Linked DNA regions of Arabidopsis thaliana. The protein of the gene in region 3 binds, or shares a complex with, the protein of the main gene of each other region. Each region holds a gene or a part of one and is shown on either strand. Other genes may lie near its edges.

Region 1 (6,563 bases), on a different chromosome or scaffold from region 3:
CTTAGCAGAAGGATCCTGTATGGATGCTATTATTTATCCTCTTCACGGTTCTTTGCCCCCTGAAATGCAGGTAACAATTTCTAGAATCAGAATATGAGTGTCCATTCCAGATTTTTGCTTCTGGGCAATTGAGATATCTAGGTGATGTAAAAGGTTTTGGTAATTTGCTTGACTTTCACCATTTCTGCAGGTTCGTGTCTTTAGTCCTCCTCCTCCAAACTGCCGCAGATTTATTGTTTCTACCAATATTGCTGAAACTTCCCTTACTGTGGACGGGGTTGTGTAAGTTACTCAAAACCTTAAGTTTATAGTGTTATTTTTTGTTTTCATGTCTGGTATCTACCGTAAGATTTACTGTACATATTGATACTTTCATTACGATAGTGTTAAGTCAGGCCCTGTAAAAAAATGAATAAATTTATCATTCATACTAATCATGAAGACTGCAATCGTGTAATTAGGTGCAGTAATGGATTTAAGCAGATATATGATACCGGCTTAATGTTGTTTGTTATATTCCTCGCTCCTTTAAATTCACTTCACATTTCAGTACATGTTGTTCACAATCACGTCTATGAGATCTACTTTTGGAGTTTAACTTGAAACAGACGATTGAGACATTTAATTCTACATGAATAGGTCGTACTGTCTCTTTGTCAAGCTATCAAAACTGAATGTAGTATGAGAAGATTCCTTATTCTGTGATGTTACTGTTGCCAAAAGTCGTCTTTGTTTGTATCATTTGTTCATATCTGCATTTTAAGCAAAGTTCTGATAATGTTTTGACAATTTGGAGATCGATAGCATTCTCAGCCTAGTCTGTTTTCTTTGACAGGTATGTAATTGATTCCGGGTATGTGAAGCAAAGACAATATAACCCATCAAGTGGAATGTTTTCTCTTGATGTTATTCAAATTAGCAAGTAAGCAAATGAATCTTGGTTCAATACCTTCATTCATTCCATTAGATTGTTTGCTAAATATGAACCTTGTAATAATCTATTGGTGCATATAATGAACTTGTAGTTGATGTGTGATGATTTATAGCCGTAACTAGTAAAGATATCCGCAGTTGGCTCAAAAAGGAATTATATTGGTTCAATAGGACCTCATCAGATTCAGATATTACATTTTTTAATCAGGAATCCCAGTGGTTTCTTACTCAGGTTTTCATCAAGCTCCTATTTGCTAACTGTACTTTGAATATTTTTCTGTTTCACTTTGTTTTTCCAGAGTGCAAGCTAACCAACGTGCTGGACGTGCTGGCCGAACAAGACCGGGGAAATGTTATCGTTTATACCCATTGGCAGTCTACCGAGATGACTTCCTTGATGCAACTATTCCTGAAATCCAACGAACTTCTCTTGCCGGGAGTGTTCTATACTTGAAATCATTGGATCTTCCTGATATTGACATTCTCAAGTTCGATTTTCTTGATGCTCCTTCATGTAAGAACTTATTTCTATCCGGAGTTTAATGTCTCTTATAAAGCTTTCTACAAAATCAATGGACTGATGGTTTGTCATGCACAAACTGCTGTTTTTCTTTTTTTTGCTTGTGATACTTTTGAATTTTCCAGTGATATAATATATCTCTGGTTTTTGTCCTGCATATAATATTCAGCTGAGTCATTAGAAGATGCGTTGAAGCAATTGTATTTCATTGATGCAATTGATGAGAATGGAGCAATAACAAGGATTGGACGGACAATGTCTGGTATGTTTAGCGCAGTTTTCTTCTGTTTGATTTTTTCTAGTTTGAGCTGCTATCTCATACTGACCATATTTGTGGTTCAACAGATCTTCCACTAGAACCATCATTGTCAAGAACATTGATAGAAGCGAATGAAACCGGTTGCTTATCTCAAGCTCTAACAGTTGTTGCTATGCTGTCAGCAGAGACAACTCTTCTTCCTGCTAGGAGGTTAGTTTTTACGATATACAATAACCTGGGTCAGATTGTGAAATGTTTAAAATCACATTGACTAGATACAGATGCGTCAACTCTTGTCTTTATGGTTTTTGCTTGCATGATAGTAAACCCAGTGAAAAGAAGAGGAAACATGATGAAGATTCTAATCTTCCTAATGGATCCGGATATGGTGATCACATTCAACTGCTACAGATTTTCGAATCTTGGGACCGTACTAATTATGATCCTGTATGGTGCAAAGAGAACGGCATGCAGGTAATTGTTCCATTTTCTTCCTTCCTTCCTTATCTATTCTCGAGTATTCCAAGTGAAAAGCATGGTGACATCAAAAGCCTTACTGCATTGTTACTTCAGAAGGTGGTCAGTTATATGCTGTCTCTGCAGTTAATACAATCTATATAGCATAGAAAATCCCTTCATTGTTGAGACCTGACTCCGATGGGCGTCAATGTTTGTATTTTCTGCTTCATACAGTTTTATAACCAACAATTATGGGAGTTACTGAAATTTACTACCTTTGTTTAGATAGTCTATTTCGGTACATTATTACGTGGGTTCCTTATGCCAATAAGAAAGATAACTTTTGTTGAAAAATAATTTGCAGGTGCGAGGGATGGTGTTTGTCAAAGATGTTAGAAGACAGTTATGTCAGATTATGCAGAAAATATCCAAAGGTTAGATTGTTTCATGACAAGAAGATTCCGTGAAAGAATATATAATTATTTCTCTATGGCTTTCACCCTAAATGGTTATGCCTCCAACAGAACCAGAGTTTATGTCAACATCACTCTTTTATCTTGTGAGATGTGATAGGTGGCTGTGTCATACCTAACCAACCGTCACTAAAATATTTGGTCTCCTTGACAAACTAGATCGATTGGAAGTTGGGGCAGATGGTAGGAAGAGTTCAAGCCGAGACGACTACAGGAAGTTGAGGAAAGCTCTATGCGTTGGTAATGCAAACCAAATTGCTGAGAGAATGCTTCGTCACAATGGATACCGGACTCTTAGTTTCCAGTCCCAGCTAGTCCAGGCATTACTTCTCAATCCAAGTCTCATTTATCTGTTACAGTGTTAGATTTTCTATTACATCAGTAGCTCAGATATGTAAGCATTTCCAGTTTCGTATGATCATCGACATATTGACGTTTTTGGTTGATTCTAGGTGCATCCATCATCTGTATTGAGTGCCGACAATGACGGAATGATGCCTAACTACGTAGTGTACCATGAGCTGATTTCCACCACACGTCCGTTCATGCGGAATGTTTGTGCAGTAGATATGGCATGGGTGGCTCCCATCAAAAGAAAGATCGAGAAATTAAATGTCAGAAAATTGAGGTAAAAACAAACATTACTCTTTACTAGTTCAATCCAGTCTTGTTCTAGCTTTTTCTTGTCTGGTCTTGGATTCAGTAATTGATCGGTATCATTTAATCTGCCATGTAGCGGTGGACCGGCTCCCTCTTTCAAAGTACCTGAGGAGAAGACGGAGTTGTCTAAAAACAATGCAGAAACACCTGCAGTTTCTGAAAATGTTGAGAGTCGGATTGAAGCAGCCAGAGAACGCTTTCTTGCTCGTAAAGGACAGAAATAAATTTGATGTCTCAAACATAAATACAAGATTCAACTAGCCCTATAAAGAATAGAAAAGAGAAGCTTTCTGTAGAAGATTTGTTATTAGAGACAATTTTCAAATTTTGTATGTTCTGTTTTTTTTTTTTTTGGCTCAACTTAAACTTTTCTTTATTCTCATTCGACATGAGTTTTAAATTTTTAACCCAATTTGGTATGTTCTTAGTATTATGTTTAAAAGATGATAATGTTTACACGAAAAAAGAAAAGAAAAAGGTTTTGGTATTAGTCAGACTTCGGTTTAGTGATTTAATTCGGTTTAGTATTAAAATTGTAAACCGCTTCGGAAACAGGCTTCTCTTATTTTGGGCTTTTGAGAGGAAAATGGAAATCTCGTGTCCAACAAGAATTAAATTAGGAGTGATAAAAGTCAACACGAACTTTTTGACTGGAAAAAAATGGAAACTTTCCGGCGACGTAAGAAAAAAGGAAACTCCCACTGCTATTAGTATTCGAGTCTCCGAAATCAGATAGAGAGAGAGATTAGTATTTCAGATAAACAAACTGTTTCAGTCTTCAAAATCCGAGAGAGATGGGTGAAGTTTGGAGATGGAACAAGGAAGTAGAGATGGATTCGATAAGAGATTGTTTGAAACATTTTAGTTCCATCGCTATCGACACAGAGTTTCCCGGATGCTTAAAGGAGACTCCGATGGACGCGAGTGAGGAAATTCGTTACAGAGACATGAAGTTCAATGTGGACAACACCCATCTCATCCAGTTAGGTTTCACGCTATTCGACAGAAGAGGAATCACTAAAACCTGGGAAATAAACTTGTCAGATTTCAACGAACATAAGTGCTTCAAAAACGATAAGTCCATAGCTTTTCTCAAAAGCAATGGTCTCAATCTGGACAAGATCGGAGAGGAAGGTATTGGAATCGAAGAATTCTTTAGAGACTTTTCTCAGATTCTCAAGGAGAAGGACGGAAAGATAACTTGGGTGAATTTTCAAGGCTCTTACGACAATGCTTATCTCGTTAAAGGCTTAACGGGAGGGAAACCGTTACCGGAGACTAAGGAAGAGTTTCACGAGACCGTCGAGCAGCTTTTGGGAAAGTTTGTTTTTGACGTAAAGAAAATCGCTGAATCATGCAGCGGACTAAGTAGCCGATTCGGACTACAGAGAATAGCTGATGTGTTGCAGATGAAACGTGTTGGAAAAGCTCATCACGCTGGCTCAGACAGTGAATTGACGGCTCGTGTCTTCACTAAGTTGACTTTCGATTTGCTCAATAGTAGAAAGCAGTGTGTAAGACGAGTTGATCATCAGCAATATCAACTAGAGCAGCAGCAGCTTATGATGACTAGATGTTACATCCCAATACCGATACCTATACCGAGACCGAGATCGGTGATGTTTGCTGCTCATCACCCGAACCCGTATTTTGGTGGTGGTTACTTTGGGATGCCGGTCCAAGGAAGGAACTACGTTTTGTGATGCCTGAATGTTTGTTTAACATGACTTGCTCTGCTATTATGTATAATTTCTAGTTTTATCAGATGTTTCTTTAAATACTAAAGATTAACTTTCATCTTTTCTTGTCGATCAAAACAATTCTCTCAACTCTCATATGACACAATTTCTCTTTACTGGATACTTTCAATGAATCTAGAATACAATACAAATAAATTTAAATATCCTAAGAATCTACTCAAAGCCTCTAATCTTATGTTATGTAGCTAAAGCTGCGTTCCTGTCAACAAAATTGAACAACTCTGTTTGTGCCGCTTCCATTATCACTCGGAAGTCTACGTTCATATACCTTCCCCTGCAAAGCCATATTTCAATTAAATCACATGTACCATCACCAAACAATAACTTGCATGGCTTGGTTTAGCTGATGATGATGAATATACCAGAAATGAGTCTTGGACCAGACTGAATTCGGAAAAGCTGGACTTCCAACTCCGTGCATTATTCTCGCGATGGCTCTTGGTGTGAATTTGGCTTGGCGATTACTCTGCAAAAACACCTGTTTTGACACACAATAGTTAACTGGACATTCTTTGGATACATGGCAAAACAATAAAGTATGAACAACAGTGTGGCTTCTTGGATCTTCACCTTTATGTCTGCTCGTAGAAAGGCGCTGCATCCACAATACAAGCGTTGATCAATTTAATGGAAAGATGACTTTGACAAACAAATAATATGTAACAACCGCAGTTTTATATTTCCTTATTCGCTATGCAATAATCGAAATTTGGAATCTATGAAAACAAGTAAAATATTTTGTTAGTACCAATTTTGAGTAGCCTTGCTCGGACTGTCACACTTTTCATCACCATTGAAGTAATCAAAGATTCTGCTTTGCAGGCTCCGAGTTTGCTTGGCACCAGAACTCAGTTCTGAAGTGTTAGAGACACTAATCGCAGCCACAGCTGCACTAGACATAATATCCAGTTTTCTCACCTATATCAGAAGCAAAAATTATTGCTACATATAAGCACAAGCGTTGGAACTTAAATTATGCAGTAGATCAAATTGAAGAACTTACTTTGCAACTTTCAATCTCTGTGAGCCACTTGGTTAGATGACTGGACAATGAACATATTTCCTTTGGAGATTTTAAGATTGTGTAACAAAAGGCGGAGTCCTTCAATTCGTATGTTACTTCCCCCTTCATCTACAAGTACTCAACATCGTTAATTAGAAATCAGGAAGATAATTAGGATTCAAGTGGAACACACACGAAATAGTTCTTAACAGAACACAAGCAATTAAACAAATAGATGACATATGATCCACCCTTAGATACATTTCCCTCAGTACAGTTGTATTTTCTCAGTAAACCCTACATCAATAGTCCATAGAAAAAATTGAACCAAACTTTATCACAAAACGATACTAATTAAGTATATCTTCTTATATTGTACTATAGTTATATTCCTAAGGGTAATTTATGTGTCTATCAGTTCTTTGCTGTGGACTTAAGTTTCTTCGTCACTTTTAATCCGTGCAAATTCAATCATGGCTCGCTTATTTAGATAAAT
Region 2 (6,760 bases), on a different chromosome or scaffold from region 3:
ATTCCTCACCCTCGATCTTTTTGCATGCCATTTGTCACATATTCTTACACAAATACATGTATATGTATTAAAATTATCAATCCAGTTTCGAATATTACAGAAGTATTTTTAGAAATGAAATTAGATTTGGGAATAAGAAGGGTTTGAATGTTTTTTTGAAAAATAGTTAATTATTTGGCTAAGAAAGAAAAGTTGTTAATGTTACAAGTCATGCACATATCAAGACCTAACATACAATCCAATGGTAACAATTGTTAATTCACAGTTTAATTAACCTTTCTCTTTCTCTCACTCACTTTTCCTTTTCATCACCACAAAGCACTAATTGTGTGACCATCATCTTAATGACTACTATATCTCTAAACCCTTAACACACTTCCTCAACACTTTTCGGTCTCTTCTTATAACAAACCCCATCATAATATATATCCAAATCTATCATATTCCTATTCCCTCTCTTCTCAAGATCAAACCAAATTTCTGATTCGATGGCGAATCTGATTCGAACAGACCATCAGCAACATATTCCAAAGAAGAGGAAGAGAGGGGAAAGTAGAGTTTTTAGGCTGAAGACGTTCGGAGAGTCTGGACATCCAGCTGAGATGAACGAGTTGTCTTTTCGAGATAACCTCGCTAAACTACTTGAGTTTGGTCACTTTGAGAGCTCCGGTCTAATGGGAAGTTGGTCTTTTCAGCTCGAGATTCAACGAAATCCAAATCCTCTCTATGTTCTTCTCTTTGTCGTAGAAGAGCCCATCGAAGCCTCTCTCAATCTCCGTTGCAACCATTGCCAATATGTTGGTGACGTCCTCTCTCTCTTTTCCCTTCTCTCTCTCTGTATACAATTTTTCTTTTGCGTATCTATCTATATATGCATGTGAATACATTCGTATATAACTATATATGACCTAAGATCATAAGCTGAAAATTTAGTAAGAGTTGACCTAGCTAGCTCAACATGTAAGCATTTTTCTTGCATATATATCTATATACAAGCTTACACGTACTTATGAACAAAAATAGCAATAATAATTTAATATATGGTTAAAAGTGATGCATTTATGTAAAGATCAAAAATATATATTATACAATGGTTTATACGGAACCTTGCAGGTTGGGGAAATCAAATGATATGCAACAAGAAGTACCATTTCGTGATCCCCTCAAAGGAAACAATGGCGGCTTTTTTAAAACTGGAAGGTGGAGGCTACGCTTTTCCCGAAAAGGAAAGTTTCTCCCATCTTGTGGAGCTTCAAGGCCATGTCCTTCACGGCTTCTTTCACTCCAACGGATTTGGTCACTTGCTCTCTCTCAACGGCATTGAAACCGGCTCCGACTTAACCGGTCATCAGGTCATGGATTTGTGGGACCGGCTCTGCACCGGTTTAAAGGCCAGGTACTAATTAGACTTTATATATTTGTATATCATATAAACCATTCAACACAATAACCATTCAACACAATTCTGTTAGTTTTCATATCATAATGGATTATTCCTAGCTATTAATTTGGATTTACACATAATGAGTCATTTTATTTTTGTTCATATAGGAAAATAGGGTTGAATGACGCGTCGCACAAAAAAGGAATGGAGTTGAGGCTGCTGCATGGGGTAGCAAAAGGAGAGCCATGGTTCGGTCGTTGGGGCTACCGGTTCGGGTCAGGGACATACGGAGTGACTCAAAAGATTTACGAGAAGGCACTTGAGTCGGTCCGTAACATACCCTTGTGCTTGCTTAACCATCACCTAACCAGCCTTAACCGAGAAACTCCAATCCTCTTGTCAAAGTACCAAAGTTTATCCACCGAGCCATTGATCACTCTCAGTGACCTCTTCAGGTTCATGCTTCATCTCCATTCACGTCTTCCAAGAGATAACTACATGAGTAACTCCCGAAACCAAATCATCTCCATTGATAGTACCAACTGCAGATGGTCTCAAAAACGGATCCAAATGGCTATCAAAGTGGTCATAGAGTCACTGAAAAGAGTCGAATACCGATGGATATCGAGACAAGAAGTGAGGGATGCAGCTAGAAATTACATTGGGGACACTGGTTTGCTTGATTTTGTGTTGAAGTCGCTTGGGAACCAGGTGGTTGGAAACTATTTGGTCCGACGTAGTCTAAATCCGGTGAAGAAAGTGCTAGAGTATTCCTTGGAGGATATATCAAATTTGTTACCAAGTAGTAACAATGAACTCATAACCCTTCAAAACCAAAACTCAATGGGGAAGATGGCGACAAACGGTCACAATAAGATCACAAGAGGTCAAGTTATGAAAGACATGTTTTATTTTTACAAACACATTCTCATGGACTACAAGGGAGTGTTAGGCCCCATAGGAGGTATATTGAACCAAATCGGAATGGCTTCAAGAGCAATCCTCGACGCTAAGTACTTCATCAAAGAGTATCACTACATTAGAGATACATCGGCGAAAACGTTACACTTAGATCGAGGGGAAGAATTAGGAATATTCTGCACGATCGCGTGGAAATGTCATCATCATAACAACGAGATAAAAGTTCCTCCACAAGAATGCATTGTAGTGAAGAAAGATGCAACATTGAGTGAAGTGTACGGAGAGGCAGAAAGAGTGTTTAGAGATATCTATTGGGAACTAAGAGACGTCGTGGTGGAGTCAGTGGTGGGTGGTCAAATAGAGATCACAAGGGTCGATGAAATGGCCTTGAATGGGAATAAGGGATTGGTGTTAGAAGGGAACGTAGGAATGATGATGAACATTGAAGTGACGAAATGTTATGAAGATGATGATAAAAAGAAGGATAAGAGAATAGAGTGTGAGTGTGGAGCAACGGAAGAAGATGGAGAGAGAATGGTGTGTTGTGATATTTGTGAAGTATGGCAACACACAAGGTGTGTTGGTGTTCAACACAATGAGGAAGTGCCTCGCATTTTTCTTTGTCAAAGTTGTGATCAACATCTTATTCCTCTCTCTTTTTTACCCTAAATCATTCATGTTATATTAAACCTTCTTTTTTTCTATCATTACGTCATAATACATAAATTATACTCCTCGATCAACGTGAATTCTAATGATCCCTCCTGCGTCTATATCACCAACATGTTGAATCACAAAGTCATATCCTTGCCTCCTCTGGAGCCTGACTGTTCTAATAATATCATTATCAACATGTCGCTCTCCTCTTCCCCTGATGACTCATGTGACGTCATCTACTCCAACCGTGATTCCAAGTTTTACTTGACAACAACCTTAAGGCTTGTCTCCAAGAAAAGGCAGTTAAATTTTAACAGAAAATAATTCACAACACAAGGCGGAGAAAGAAGTGTGTAGTGTTTTAAATAATTTAGGCTTACAATTGATGCAAAAACAAAATTACAAACAAAAGAAGGTTTACATAATTTAAATAATTTAGTTTTACAATTGATGCATTTGGAATTAATAAATTATTTCTTCATTAACATGGAACAATATCAAGTTATTGCAAACAAAGGAAATGAAAGAAAAACAGTCATGTGTTTAACAACTCTGTTCAAGGTCAACGTCCTAAAAAGTTTCTTATTATATTGACTGAAGATGGAAAACTCCACGGACTATCTACGTTTGTGATATTGTTTCTAGAAATTGGGACTTACATCCAAATCTGGAAGAACAATCTTCTAAACACTACCAACAAAGTCATGAGATTCGATGAGTAAACTAGGGAACAATGAAAACTGAAAAGGGCTCAACCTAGGCTTCGCTGTTGCTACAATTTCGTGAAAACATTAAAGCACAATCAGATACGTGTAGACATCATCATAATCTAATGATTCAACCCTTTAATGCGTTTTTAGTGCGTCGTTACATATTCAGTGTTTATTGGTAATATAGCAATATTCCTGATAAAGTTCATTGGTCGTAAGTCGTAACGTTTACATGTTTTATTCAACTCTTAAAAACCAATAGAAAATCTTAATGTACTTGGCCTTCTTATTCTTGTCGGCTTAATGTACTTACTTAAATACAACGACTTGAATTGCAATAATTCGATACACGAAGGAGAAGCCAACTTAGACTAAGTCAAGAAACACATTGAATCATAAACGTGCGCGTTTCTCACACTTCTTCTCCTCTCCTTCCTCGTAAACACTCTCTTACTCACATTCATATATATAACTAAACCTTGCAGATTAACCAAATCAACAAAAAAAAACAGACTTTTGATAAATTCACAACGAAGAAGAAGACCTAAAAGATCGGGACTTGAAACTATGATCAAATCAGAAGCAGATCTCTCCGATGTGATCGTGATTCGTGACGTTTGGGCTTATAATCTCGAGTCAGAGTTTGACCTAATCAGAGGAATCGTCGAAGATTACCCATTCATCTCAATGGATACAGAATTTCCCGGCGTGATTTACAAGGCGGATCTCGACGTTCTCCGCCGTGGAAACCCTAATTATCTCTACAATCTTCTCAAATCCAACGTTGACGCTTTAAGTTTGATCCAAGTCGGTCTTACTCTCTCCGACGCCGACGGAAACCTCCCAGATCTCGGCGGTCAAAAAAACCGTCGATACATCTGGGAATTCAATTTCCGTGACTTCGACGTGGAGCGTGATCCACACGCTCCTGATTCGATCGAGCTACTCCGTCGTCACGGGATCGATTTCGAGCGGAACCGTCGCGAAGGTGTTGAATCGGAGAGGTTCGCGGAGCTGATGATGTCATCGGGGTTGATCTGTAACGAGTCTGTGAGCTGGGTGACGTTTCACAGCGCGTATGATTTTGGTTACCTTGTGAAGATTCTCACGCGCCGGCAGCTTCCGGTGGCGTTGCGTGAGTTTTTAGGGTTGCTTAGAGCTTTCTTCGGTGATAGGGTTTATGATGTGAAACATATTATGAGGTTTTGTGAGCAGAGATTGTATGGTGGTTTGGACCGGGTTGCTCGGTCTCTTGAAGTTAACCGGGCGGTTGGGAAATGTCATCAAGCCGGTTCGGATAGTTTGCTGACGTGGCAGGCGTTTCAGAGGATGAGGGATTTGTATTTCGTTGAGGATGGGGCGGAGAAACACGCCGGAGTTTTGTATGGTTTAGAGGTTTTTTGAGGGATTTATAATTAATTAATTTAATTAATCTTTGTTAATCATTTATACAGTCGAAATCGAAATTATCTTATTCATCTCTCGTTTTAACCAAATCCAAAAACCAAAACGAAATAACTCAATTTGGTTTTGTTTAACCAATTTACACTTCAAAACTTTTTGTGCAGTAAAATATTATCGTTACGTTAGAGCTAGGCTTTGAGGTATAACTTTGATTTTTGTTGGTGTTGTTTAATAGTTTACATCTAGTCATGGAATCATAAATTGAAATTATTCACAATATTGTAACATCTATATATAGAGAGAGATATGAGGAGGATTTAGTTCCTCATTTTGAAGAAGTTTGGTGTGAGTCATCATCATTGTTATCAAGAGGATTGTTAACATATAGACGAAGCAATCTCCCAAGTGACTTCCCACGTCGGTCGTGTGGTGGTTGGAGATGTGAACAGACGTCGACAAAAGCACGGACGATGAGATTGTGTTGAGGAGAAGGGTTTATGTCCAAGAAACACCTTAGAAGCTCCTTAAGTTCACTTTCCGTCTCGATATATCTCTCTTCGATCATCTGATTCATCGACTTCTTGTAATCTTCGAACGGATTGATTGATTCTTTAGCCATCGCGACGCTCTCATCGATCTTAGGACATGGGCTGCGTAAAACCGTGGGAGAAACCGGTGGTCCCGGGGTGTAGTGGCTGTGAGAGGAAGGTGGAACGGTAGAGCCGCAACCGCATGCCATAAAAATGGGTTTGAATATGGTTTTGAGTATATACTTCATCATCTTCTTGAAAGACATTTTTTTTTTTACTAGAGGAAGAGAAAACAAGTTGAGATTATTGAGTGAGGATGTTGGTGTGGGAAAGTTTGTTAAAAGAGGAACCTTTTTTTCATTTAACTTAGCTTGGAGATTCAGCATTGCTCATTGCTTTGGAGATGCACAATTTTGATGGATTTCTTTTTTAAGGAAAATAATACCATCTTGAGGTGAATTCAAAGTTATATATGATATCATTTGTAAGAAACTATCTCGAGTGATATCAAAGGATTGGACATAGAAACCGATTTGAACCAAAAAGAAATCTCTCAAACCACAACCGAACCAATATGTTTTCGTCAAGATTTTTGATGAACGGAAATATGTTTTAGTTTCGATCTGGTTACCTTTTTGGTAAACCGGAAATGGAGCATGTAAAACTACTAAGCACCCGTCTACAACTCTAAAAGGTTTTGCAGTTTCACATGAACAAGACCAATATTAAGAAATCAATGGGCTAAGGCTAATTCTATATTAAGCCTGAGAAGCTAACAAAGAAAAAAAATGAAGAATACAACGAAGGGGTTGGTTTCTCTACTTTTATTTTGCAATCTCTATTCTATGATAATGCAATGCAGCTACTGTACAAGTACAACATTAACTCTGGTTTCACCGAAATCAGATTCTATGTACAGATATATGGTGGTGCTTGTAATGTGGTATGGTAACTTCAGCTACCTGTAGGTGATCTCGTAGCAGTGGATTCTTCTGGTGTTGGGCTCGATGGAGTTTGTGGCTGCTCCAAGATTTTGTTGTCGCTCGGTCCAGCGTGGTCTTGATCAAATGTAATCATCTGGTTCCAGTCTGGTCCAGCTAATGATGAAAGAGTCAAGGAGCTCTAAACAGATATCATATTTGGGGAGGAAAAAA
Region 3 (9,934 bases):
AATTATTCTTATTTATATTAAATATGTTTTAATAAATTTAAATCAATAGTAATATGAAACTATTAATTATTGTGCTCTACGATATCTTAATACTAAATAATAATAAAAATCTTAAAAAGCTAATCTTTGTAAAACAAATTACAAAAGTAGAAGAACATCATTTTTCTAAAATTTTCTAAGAACAGAGAAAGTATAAAACTTGAAACAAATTTGGTTGAAATCTTATATATAATTATGGAAAAGTGATATGATATGTGATGTCTGACTATTGTAATCGGGCAATTCCAGTGATGATTAGAATGATAAATTCCATTCCCTGAGACACAGTTCCATGTAAATAGTATTATTTTTCAAAGGTGAGTGTGAAAAAGGCAAATTTTTCTACCCTGGCTTTTCTTATTTGAATACCCCAACTTAACAACTTTCACATTGATTGATTTCCACACAGTTGGTAAAATTCAGACTATAATTTAAAATATTGAAGGACATTAAAGGGCCACAACAACAAAAGTCTGTTTGTTTCTTTGAAGACTAAACTTTTGTTACAAAAAGACCCTTCTTTTTTGTAACTTCTTACTTTATTGACTCTTCTTCTTCTTCACTACTGAAAACTTCTTGCTGAGACAACAACACTTTCAACTTTATAATAAAATTAATTAATCCTATTATTATTCGATAAAAGACGACAATAACTTATGATTAATTAAAAAAAAGGTAGAAAAATTCACACTTAAGGATTTTGTTTTCATCTTGTTACCGTAGCTAGCTAGTACCATAAAAAGTTTTACTGATTACCCGTAAAACTATTAATTTTTCTACTTTGACATGTTTAGCATTTATTCCCTGACAATCCGATAACATTTTTGGATAGATCGTAAGTGATACGTGTCCCTTGCTGCTGCACATTCCCGATGATCGACAACGACGACGACGTCGGAGCAAAAGCGAAGCAAAACGTTCCACTATCATCCACAGGGATCAGATAATTCTTCGCCGGCAAATCAAGCGACTTCCCTCCCGTGAAATGAAACGCAACCGTCGGTACTTTCACAGTGGAGAGAGACGAGAAATCGTAACACGTGTCGAACAGAGAGATGCTCGAAGATCCTTTTTTGAGATTCACGGTGAGTTTAAGAAACGCGTCACGCAGCGAGTTATAAGCCTGCGTCTGAAGACGAGTCACGGCGGTTCCACAATCCAAGATCACTCCTCCGCTTCCCGAAGCATCGACATCGAAGATCGCATCAGGCAGCACGACTTTTTCACCACCGACGCTGAATCCACTGAGTCCGACGTAGTAGAAAGTGTCGATCTTTTTGTTACGTAGAAGCGGCGCCGTCGCGTCTCCGCCACCGAGTTGGACCGAGTTGAAATCAAGACTTGAGGACTTTCCCGAGTCACGGTCAACGAGGCAGTAAGAAAACGACGTCGCTTTCATTTGATTGGTTATCGATAAAACACCACCGCCTAAACCGAGTAAACCGGCTGCTCCGGTAAAGAGACCTTCGTTGTCGTGACCACAACCCAAAGCGACGTTGTTTATTTTACCAGAGTTACCAAACGTCACCGTATCGGTAGCGAGTTCACCGACGGTGAAAGATCCGTCTCCGTAACTAACTTGGTAGAGACATTTGTTTGACCGACAAGCGGAGGTTTCGAGAAGAGAGCACTGTGGAGCAGAGCAAGTGAGAGATTTGTATGTGGAAGACGAAGTCGGGTTAAAAACCGGGTCGGACTGTTGGTAACAGTCGGCGCAAGGTTCACACTGGATCCAATTTACGTCGCTTCCGGTGTCGAGAACCAAGTACATCTCTTTCGCCGGAGTTCCGACACCGATTCTTGAGAAATACTCGCCGCTTCCTTGAGAGGCTCCGGAGACGACAGGTGTCGTTAGATCCTCGGTTTGGTATCGTGTATCTTCGTTGTAAACGGGTTTGAGATCGGATCTATCGACTCCTTCGACGGCGAAACGGATCTTCGCGACGATTCCGGCGACTCGGGATGAGTCGCGCTCGAGTCGACTGAGTGTTAAGCTTTTGTAGTCTTTGTGCTGTGACGCGACGAAAGTGTCTCGAGAGTGAAGCTCTAGAGATAGTGGTGAAGATGAATTGAAGAAAACCGGGTCGGATAGGGATTCGGGTTTGGTGGTGGTGAGTGAGGAACGAGTCGGGTCGAGTGAGAGGATAGTTTGTGTTTGCTGGAGAGATGAAACGACGTCGAGTACGTTCGTTTTAGGTGGAGTGGATAGAGAGCGAGAGGAAGCATCAGTGGTGGTGAGGAAAAGAGAGAGAGTGACGACGGCGAGGAGAGAAAGAAATCGCGGGAAAGCCATTATTTCCGGCGAAGGTTGATATGAGTTAAGTGGAAGAGAGAAAGAGTAAGTAATGTTTTTAATTTATAGAGAGAAAAATAAATGCTGCGGAGAGAGTCACGCCAGAATTGCTGCGGTTATAAAAGCCACATCAATTATTTATCATCCTGTTAAAATATTTGGATTCACATTATCATCGATCGGTAAAAAAACTTTATGGTTGGATATTATATTTTATATATACAAAAATAAATTAAATAAGAAGTCTTAATCTGGATTTATCATATGATTCCCAACATAGCGTTACATTTATACCGAATCAAATAAAAATTTAGACAAATGTAATTTGAGAATTGTGTTTATTTGTTATTGGCACCGAAAGAAGAATTTGTACTTTGTAGAATTCAACACAAAACTATAGCATAGTGTCTGTAGTCTGTACGGACGAGAGTAGAAACTGTAGAAGATAGGGATTTGACCTACTAAATATTTTAATACAAGTCTACAAGCGATTATCCAATATTAAGCTCCTAGAGATGTGTGACTACAGAGTACTTAAGTGTTTATTTATTGCAATGACCTTTGGATACAAAGTACTCCTATATTGTTAACCAATTCACTTTTAATTTTTTTTACGTGACCAAAGCTAAGATCTTATCTAGAAAACTAAAAGCTTTCTGTCCTTTTGTTATATTCGGGCTTCAAAACTTTGTACCTTCTTCTTACCATCGCTGTCGAGAGAAAAGTCAGCAGAAGTTTTGGAAACTATTAGTTATAGGGATCGAATTATCTTAATCATCTACGATCATGTCATTTTGTGTTGGATATTTGTTAATGCTTGTACATTTCTAAAAAAACATGTGTTGTATATTAGCTAATGTCAATATGTGGTGCATATTTGCTAAGTTGCCGTGGAAATAACAAAAACTTAAAATTTTGCTAAGTACTGTACTTTTTTTTTTTTGTGATTGCAATTTGCTTAAGGTGATTGATGAACGAAGGCTATATGTAAAAACTGGAAAGGAGTGAATCAATGTGAGAAGTGGGTGAGTTGTTACTTCGTTAGAAGAGAGATTTGGGTTTATTTCGCTTTCCCTGAATTAATGGTAACGCACCCTTTTGGCTTTGGTTGTTGCGTGTCATTTATTTCTCTTTTGTTTTTAATCTTGTTATATCCATTTTCTTATACCTACTTTACTTTTTTTCCATAAAATGAGATTATGCAATTCAATCAGTAATGTTTTAAATCGCATACACTTTTATATTTAACAATATGCCTTCACTAATTTGTATTTCAAGATTAGTTAGTGATATTTTATAGTAAAGTTTAAAGAACATTATAATGTAGACGCAATCATAGAGTTTTTCTTTGTCAAAGGCAATATTGCAACAAAAAAAAAGGTAGAAACGAAGACATTTTTTTTTTTGTGTGTGTAATCAGTAATCGCCTTACACAAAAAGACATATACTTTTTTGTGTAAGGTTTTTTTTTTTTGAGCTACTATCACTAAATTTGAAATCAAATAATTGATACTCCAATAAAAGTAGAAATAATATCATAGTATATGAAAAAACAAAAAAAAATTACAAGGACGATGAAAGAAAAAACAAAATCTCATAACTCAAAATCAAATATCATCTCCAAGTTCTTAACATGATAAAACTAGACTAAAATAAAAACTGACATCCTACTAAAATTAGAAACAAAATGACATAAATTGAAATCAAACTCACAAAAAAAAACAATAGACATTAAAACAAAAAATCCGAATAACAAAAAACAGGATCTCAGCTAAACAAGGCCTGGTGTAGTATACTAGTATTGGCCCATGGCCCATGGTTTGGTATTTTTTTTTCTCTGACCAAAGGAAGAAAAAAAAAAAGATATTTATCCGTATGGCGCCAAGAGGTTTGTGTGGTTTTCGATTTCATCCAAATTTCTGAATTTCGTCTCTAACATCCACAAAATCGAATGCGTTGTGTGAATCGCGTTGATTGTTCTTGGTCACGGCCAAGCGAAGCTTACCGTATCTTACCCTCCGGTGGTCACCTTTCATCTGGATTCCATCAATGTCCTTTATCGTCTCTATCTTTCCGTTCCTCTTTCGTGTGTTGCTCCTCCTCCACATCTGGACCGTCCGATTCAAATCCCGAATCATCTTCAAATCGCTCTTACAGCCGTAGATGGCAGAATCCTCTTCCCCGGCGTCAACATCCCGATCAAATACCGTCTTCTCAGATTGCTCGTGATTGGATCGATTCAGATACAACTCCAGTTTCTCAAGGTAGTTTAATAATGATCTTATGGAAAAACTCTGCTCTTACTTATGAATTTGTGAACTAGTTAGGATTTAGTAAATTAGAGATATTAGTAATAGCTTGAGTTACTGTTTGTCCATGAAGCTTGTGAAATTGTGGATGCCTTTGGATCTTACTAGTGTGTCTCTATGTAATATTAGCTTTAGAGAGATTCACTGTAGTGTCGTACAACATATTGGGAGATGGAAATTCATCATATCACAGAGAGTTGTACTCCAATGTGTCTGTTCCTTACCTCAAGTGGGGCTACCGCAAAAGGTTGATATGCGAAGAACTCATTCGTCTCAATCCAGACATAATCTCTATGCAGGTAATGAACTTTACCTTGTTTTATATCGTGTTAAGATAGTTAAGTTGATTTTGTTTGTGGACCTTTGTAGGAAGTAGATAAATATTTTGATCTATTCAGTATGATGGAGAAAGCTGGATATGCTGGCTCCTATAAGGTTGATGTATTTCCTTGTTCAATGAAAAATTTTATGCTTATAAGATTAATGGGGTAAAATGTAAGACATGGTTTGTCGGTTGGTTTTATTTACCTTTTCGTCTGAAGCCTCAACAAAAGTTGTGTTTATATAGAAGGACTACAAATATAAGCTTTGCAATGGCAGCGGCGAACTGGAGATAACGTCGATGGTTGCGCAATGTTTTGGAAGGCTGACAGGTAGCACATATTGTTTGACTCAATCTGTATTAGTGTGAAGAAAAACGACTACTACAACTCAGCATTGTTTAAGATTTATCTTGTTTTCAAAAGGTTTGGAGTTTTGGAGAGGGAAAACATTGAGTTTAGCCAGTTTGGTATGCGGGATAATGTTGCACAGCTTGCTGTTCTTGAGGTAGAAATTTTTTTTGAATGTTTTACGAACTTCTTTTTTCATGTATATGCTTTGACTGATCCAGTTTTTTTTTGGGTTTCCCGTCAGCTCCGGAAGTCTAATAAGTCAAGAAAGATACTGCTGGGTAACATTCACGTGCTTTATAATCCAAATCAAGGAGATGTGAAGCTGGGTCAGGTAAGCCTCGACATTTCAATTTGTATATCCGCTACACGAGCAATTGACTGTCATGAAAGTTTACAAAATGTTGATCTGGCCCTTTCACCTTTGGCTTTAAGACTTCAGGAAATTGTACTGAATCTCAGTCAAGAGATGTTTACTAGCATTAGTTTAAATATCTAAGACAAGTCTAAGTTACTAGTATATGTCATGACATGTTCATTAGTATATGTCCTAATGCTCATGAAAACGTATTGAATTCGTGGCTTATGTTTTTTCTTGAGTTCCTGATTTGCCTTGTTCTTGACTGATAGGTCCGTTCACTCTGCTCAAAGGCTCACTTGCTCTCTAAGAAATGGGGTGACATTCCCATTGTTCTATGCGGAGATTTCAATAGCACTCCCAAGGTACGTATCTTTTCAAATAAACTCTTCCACTTTGGTTTGTGTATTTGTTTATTCATTGTTTGAGTTTATCTTATTACGTGTAGAGTCCATTGTACAACTTCTTGGCGTCCTCTGAGGTATGACTATTCATAGTTTTGCTTCAGTCAAACTACACTGTGTCCTCTTGTAGTTTCTTTAAATAGGATTATGCTTCTATCTTACAGCTGAATGTCATGGAACATGACAAAAAAGAGCTGTCCGGCCAGAAAAATTGTCGTCCTACCAAAGTTCTTGAAACTGGTAGCAAATCCAGTAATACAATAACTTTCAGGTAAGATTGTTTTTTGAAGATTTAATCAGTTCTGTGAATGGTTGTCTTGTGACTGCCTGCTGGAATAGCCATTGTGTTCACACACTAGTAGAAGTTTTTGTAGCTCTTGGACAAAAGAAGAGATCCGTGTCGCAACCGGGCAAGAGAACTCGTACTGGGCTGCGCATCCTCTGAAACTCAATAGCTCATACGCCTCAGTTAAGGTAACAAACAAAGCTTTAATGTCCCTGTCTATATATGACAAGACCTTAAATTTGCTCATGAACATGGTACACAACAGGGCTCAGCAAATACCAGGGACTCTGTTGGTGAACCTCTAGCAACCTCATATCACTCGAAATTTCTCGGAACGGTTGATTATCTCTGGTAAAACATTCTAAACACAACCAAAACTCAAATGGACAAATTTAATATTTGGCTGATGAAGTAACTAATTAGAAATACATGTGTGGTCTGGTTAAGGTACTCTGATGGTCTTTTACCTGCAAGAGTTCTTGACACACTTCCTATTGATGTTCTATGCAAAACCAAAGGCCTTCCTTGTCAAGTATGTCTTTCTATCAAACAGTTTAGATTTGGTGAGGTCATTTCTATGATTGATGCTTAAAGCCTTATTCGTCTTTGGTTTGCAGGAATTGGGAAGCGATCACTTGGCTCTTGTTTCTGAATTTGTCTTTGAACCGGACGGTTAAAGGCATCTAGTGCCAGCTTAGTTTTCTTTGAACCGAACCGTTATAAATGTGTTTTTATTAAATGTATAAGCGTACCGAAATTACCTGATCATGGTTCTATATCAAACCGACTTCTCGATAAATAAATAAAAATTGAGACGATCAGAAGCTTCAATCTTGTGTGCGTATTGGGTCACTAGGATATTAAATCGACTTCTTCGAACGTAATTTAAAGTGAGAGAACCAGTTTACTTGATTCTGGATCTAAACCGAAGCGGACATAAGCTTGGTTTAAATGTACCAAAAAGAAAGAATTGAACCAATTGGTACGGTTCTAATCTTGGTTCCGGTAAAATGAAAAGGAATTCTAAAGAGATTGAGAGCTGTAAAGTTGGAATCGAAGGAAGAAGAGACAAGAGAAAGTGAGGAAATTAATGGCGTTGAGCTCAATGACATGGGGTTACGCACGGATCATAGCTGGAACACTTCTCGGCGGGGCCCTCGGATTCTACGTAATGCATCGCATCGAAGTTAGCTACAAGGTCTGTTTCTTCTCTCTGTCTTCCTATGAGAAAGCTTGTGCTCGACCTTAGACTGTTGGGTTTTACGCAGATGAGGATGGAGGAAGCGTTGAATCAATACGAGAAGGATATGCAGAAGAGACAAGAAGAAGAAAATCTTATTCAGATCAATGAAGAATCTGTTTAGCTTATTTCTTGGTAGCATGCCTTCAAAGTGTTCGATGAAATGCCCAACAGATGTTTGATGCTGTTTTGACTTTTTTTCTCTCATGTATTTTTCGGTTTGGTTTGGTCTGGCATTATGAAAATGTTTCATTTGTCTTTGGTTTAATAACTATATACCATGATGGTGGACCAGAGAAGCAGCCATATTGAGCATTATATGTATCTTTCATCTATTCAAATGTTTCTTAAAGAAACAACTAAATCCTTATTACATCAAAATTGCTGTTCCATCCAAATCCTTAATCAGTTATGTTTCTGTTGTTGTTGTTGTTGTCGTTGTCTGTTAGAATGTGATGAGGATTTGATGTATTAGCTACATAACTTTGATTTTGGAATGGTATAATGGTTTTACTAAGCTAAATTTTTGAGAGATGTCAGATAGAAAAAGAATTAACTGGGCAAAAAGCATATGGAACCGATCCAGCTCTTTTGGACTTTTAAAAGTGTTTAGTCGGGTTCTGTCTTCTTTTTAATTCTAAAAGGTTTCGTAATTATTTTCTTTTCACCAGTTCAACTTAAAGAAACGCCAAAACAACAAACAAAAAAATGTCTAGATTTTGGTGTTTGTGCTCAATGAAAGAGTCTTCATTTCGTAGGGTCAACCCAATTCCTGATTTTTCATGGTAAATTCCACACAAAGAGGACATGTCCAAAACAGAACATTAAATATTAACATGAAAGAGACAGGAGAGTTATGTTGTTATTTTTTTGGGACCAAACCATAATTGCAGAACAATACTAGTAAGTATTACATAACTGTTTCAGTTTAATTACGTTATCATGGCAAAATTCATTTTTCTCTCAAGAATTGAATCATCTATGTATTTTAAGTCTCATTTTTTAGTTTAATAATTAGATGCAAACTGGTAGGGCTGATGAACCAGTGAACACATAAAAAGGTTCCACAACTTCCGACCCATATAGTTCGAATTACAAAATATAAAAGATGTCCTACTGAACAAAAATAGAAAAACATATTAACCTATTAATAGAATTCTCATATATGTTCGGTTGAGCTGCCTTCGATTAGGCAGATTAGGAAAAATAGTCTTTTGAATTCTCCTATAGAAGTGTTTTATATATCTTATGGATTTGTATATCCAGCCTGGTATGAAATATCTGTCCTAAAATGAATTTGTGCTACGTTTATTAAGGTTAGTTTGCAAAATAGAATTTTTGAAAAAAAAAAAAAAACTCTAGCTAGCATGTATCAGAAAATACGACATTTTGAAAGCTAAAAACATAGAGAAAAATAACATGTGCTATATATAAATATTACGTAAGTTGTTATATTTTATCATGCAAGATTGGCCCTGGACTTACTCATCATGTACCTATTTGTGGCCGCGACTTGGACTTCCTCTCGGGTCTTTCAGATGGGTCTCTCTAACATGTACCATGGCACTGATCTCACCCATAAAGAGGTCACATTTGATCTTTGCTGCTCCTACATCTATGTAGGAAGGAAGTCTCTATCCTTCCTTTTCATAAGCATCCCTTTCCGTTGCTATATAATTACCCAAACATTACAAAAAATTATATAATTTGTAATATCATGACAAATGTTATGCTATTACTTAGTATTTAAAAATGATATGTTATGCAATTACCCTTCTCTGAGCTCATGTTACACGTAAGATTAGGAAAATGCGAGGTTAATGTGTTTGTTATACTAAAGCCAGTAAGGTGGCAAGGAAAAAACAAAAAAAAATATCCAATGCAGGGCTATGTCCCTACATATATAACTATTTTGTGGAGATCCAGAAATTTAAGGTTTGTATTGAGTGTTTGCCAAAGAAATAAAGGTTGTAATGAGTGCAACAGCCAACAGGCAAGAAATGTCTTGTCTCCGTGAACTTCACGTGCATGGTGCATCCCCTACCCGTTGCCATTTCGTGAAGATCGTAATTAAGTTTGATTACTTTCTCAATTATGATTAAAAAAGATGTGATGGATTCGACCTTTCACTTCCTTACGTTGAAAATATATAACCCATGTGATTTCCCACTTTTTATGGAAAATGATATATACCACTTAAATTGACTCTTCTCTTTTTTTCCTACGTAAGAGATAGTTGAATCTTAAAAGTTTTTGTTTTTTAGTTTACAAATTTTAGATCCTGAGTGTACCAATAGATTTAAACCGGATTTTTTTGTGTGTGTTGGATCTAAA

Evidence for each region.
Region 1: AT3G18500 (region 3) and AT1G27890 share a complex: the UniProt entries of both Arabidopsis thaliana proteins name them as parts of the CCR4-NOT complex.
Region 2: AT3G18500 (region 3) and CAF1b share a complex: the UniProt entries of both Arabidopsis thaliana proteins name them as parts of the CCR4-NOT complex.

The regions. Positions count from the first base shown.
Region 1 is NC_003070.9:9,712,580-9,719,142, reverse strand, and holds AT1G27890 (Polynucleotidyl transferase, ribonuclease H-like superfamily protein), read left to right. Parts: upstream 1-3,966; 5' UTR 3,967-4,098; coding exon 4,099-5,007; downstream 5,008-6,563. Other genes in the region: AT1G27900 (RNA helicase family protein), read left to right, coding at 1-70, 191-282, 836-922, 1,233-1,447, 1,623-1,715, 1,799-1,922, 2,036-2,186, 2,536-2,605 and 3 more; AT1G27880 (DEAD/DEAH box RNA helicase family protein), read right to left, coding at 5,242-5,338, 5,427-5,542, 5,635-5,659, 5,813-5,982, 6,068-6,196. UniProt on the Arabidopsis thaliana protein: Ubiquitous transcription factor required for a diverse set of processes. It is a component of the CCR4 complex involved in the control of gene expression.
Region 2 is NC_003076.8:7,363,921-7,370,680, reverse strand, and holds CAF1b (Polynucleotidyl transferase, ribonuclease H-like superfamily protein), read left to right. Parts: upstream 1-3,881; 5' UTR 3,882-4,239; coding exon 4,240-5,076; 3' UTR 5,077-5,204; downstream 5,205-6,760. Other genes in the region: MS1 (RING/FYVE/PHD zinc finger superfamily protein), read left to right, coding at 489-801, 1,114-1,396, 1,552-2,974; OFP10 (Ovate family protein), read right to left, coding at 5,402-5,992; E2F1 (E2F transcription factor 1), read right to left, coding at 6,561-6,703. UniProt on the Arabidopsis thaliana protein: Ubiquitous transcription factor required for a diverse set of processes. It is a component of the CCR4 complex involved in the control of gene expression.
Region 3 is NC_003074.8:6,348,261-6,358,194, forward strand, and holds AT3G18500 (DNAse I-like superfamily protein), read left to right. Parts: upstream 1-4,211; 5' UTR 4,212-4,283; coding exon 4,284-4,596; intron 4,597-4,770; coding exon 4,771-4,940; intron 4,941-5,010; coding exon 5,011-5,076; intron 5,077-5,241; coding exon 5,242-5,294; intron 5,295-5,387; coding exon 5,388-5,469; intron 5,470-5,556; coding exon 5,557-5,646; intron 5,647-5,942; coding exon 5,943-6,035; intron 6,036-6,118; coding exon 6,119-6,151; intron 6,152-6,238; coding exon 6,239-6,345; intron 6,346-6,436; coding exon 6,437-6,548; intron 6,549-6,625; coding exon 6,626-6,711; intron 6,712-6,807; coding exon 6,808-6,892; intron 6,893-6,977; coding exon 6,978-7,037; 3' UTR 7,038-7,186; downstream 7,187-9,934. Other genes in the region: ASPG1 (Eukaryotic aspartyl protease family protein), read right to left, coding at 830-2,332; AT3G18510 (ATP-dependent helicase/nuclease subunit), read left to right, coding at 7,451-7,558, 7,629-7,724. UniProt on the Arabidopsis thaliana protein: Acts as a catalytic component of the CCR4-NOT core complex, which in the nucleus seems to be a general transcription factor, and in the cytoplasm the major mRNA deadenylase involved in mRNA turnover.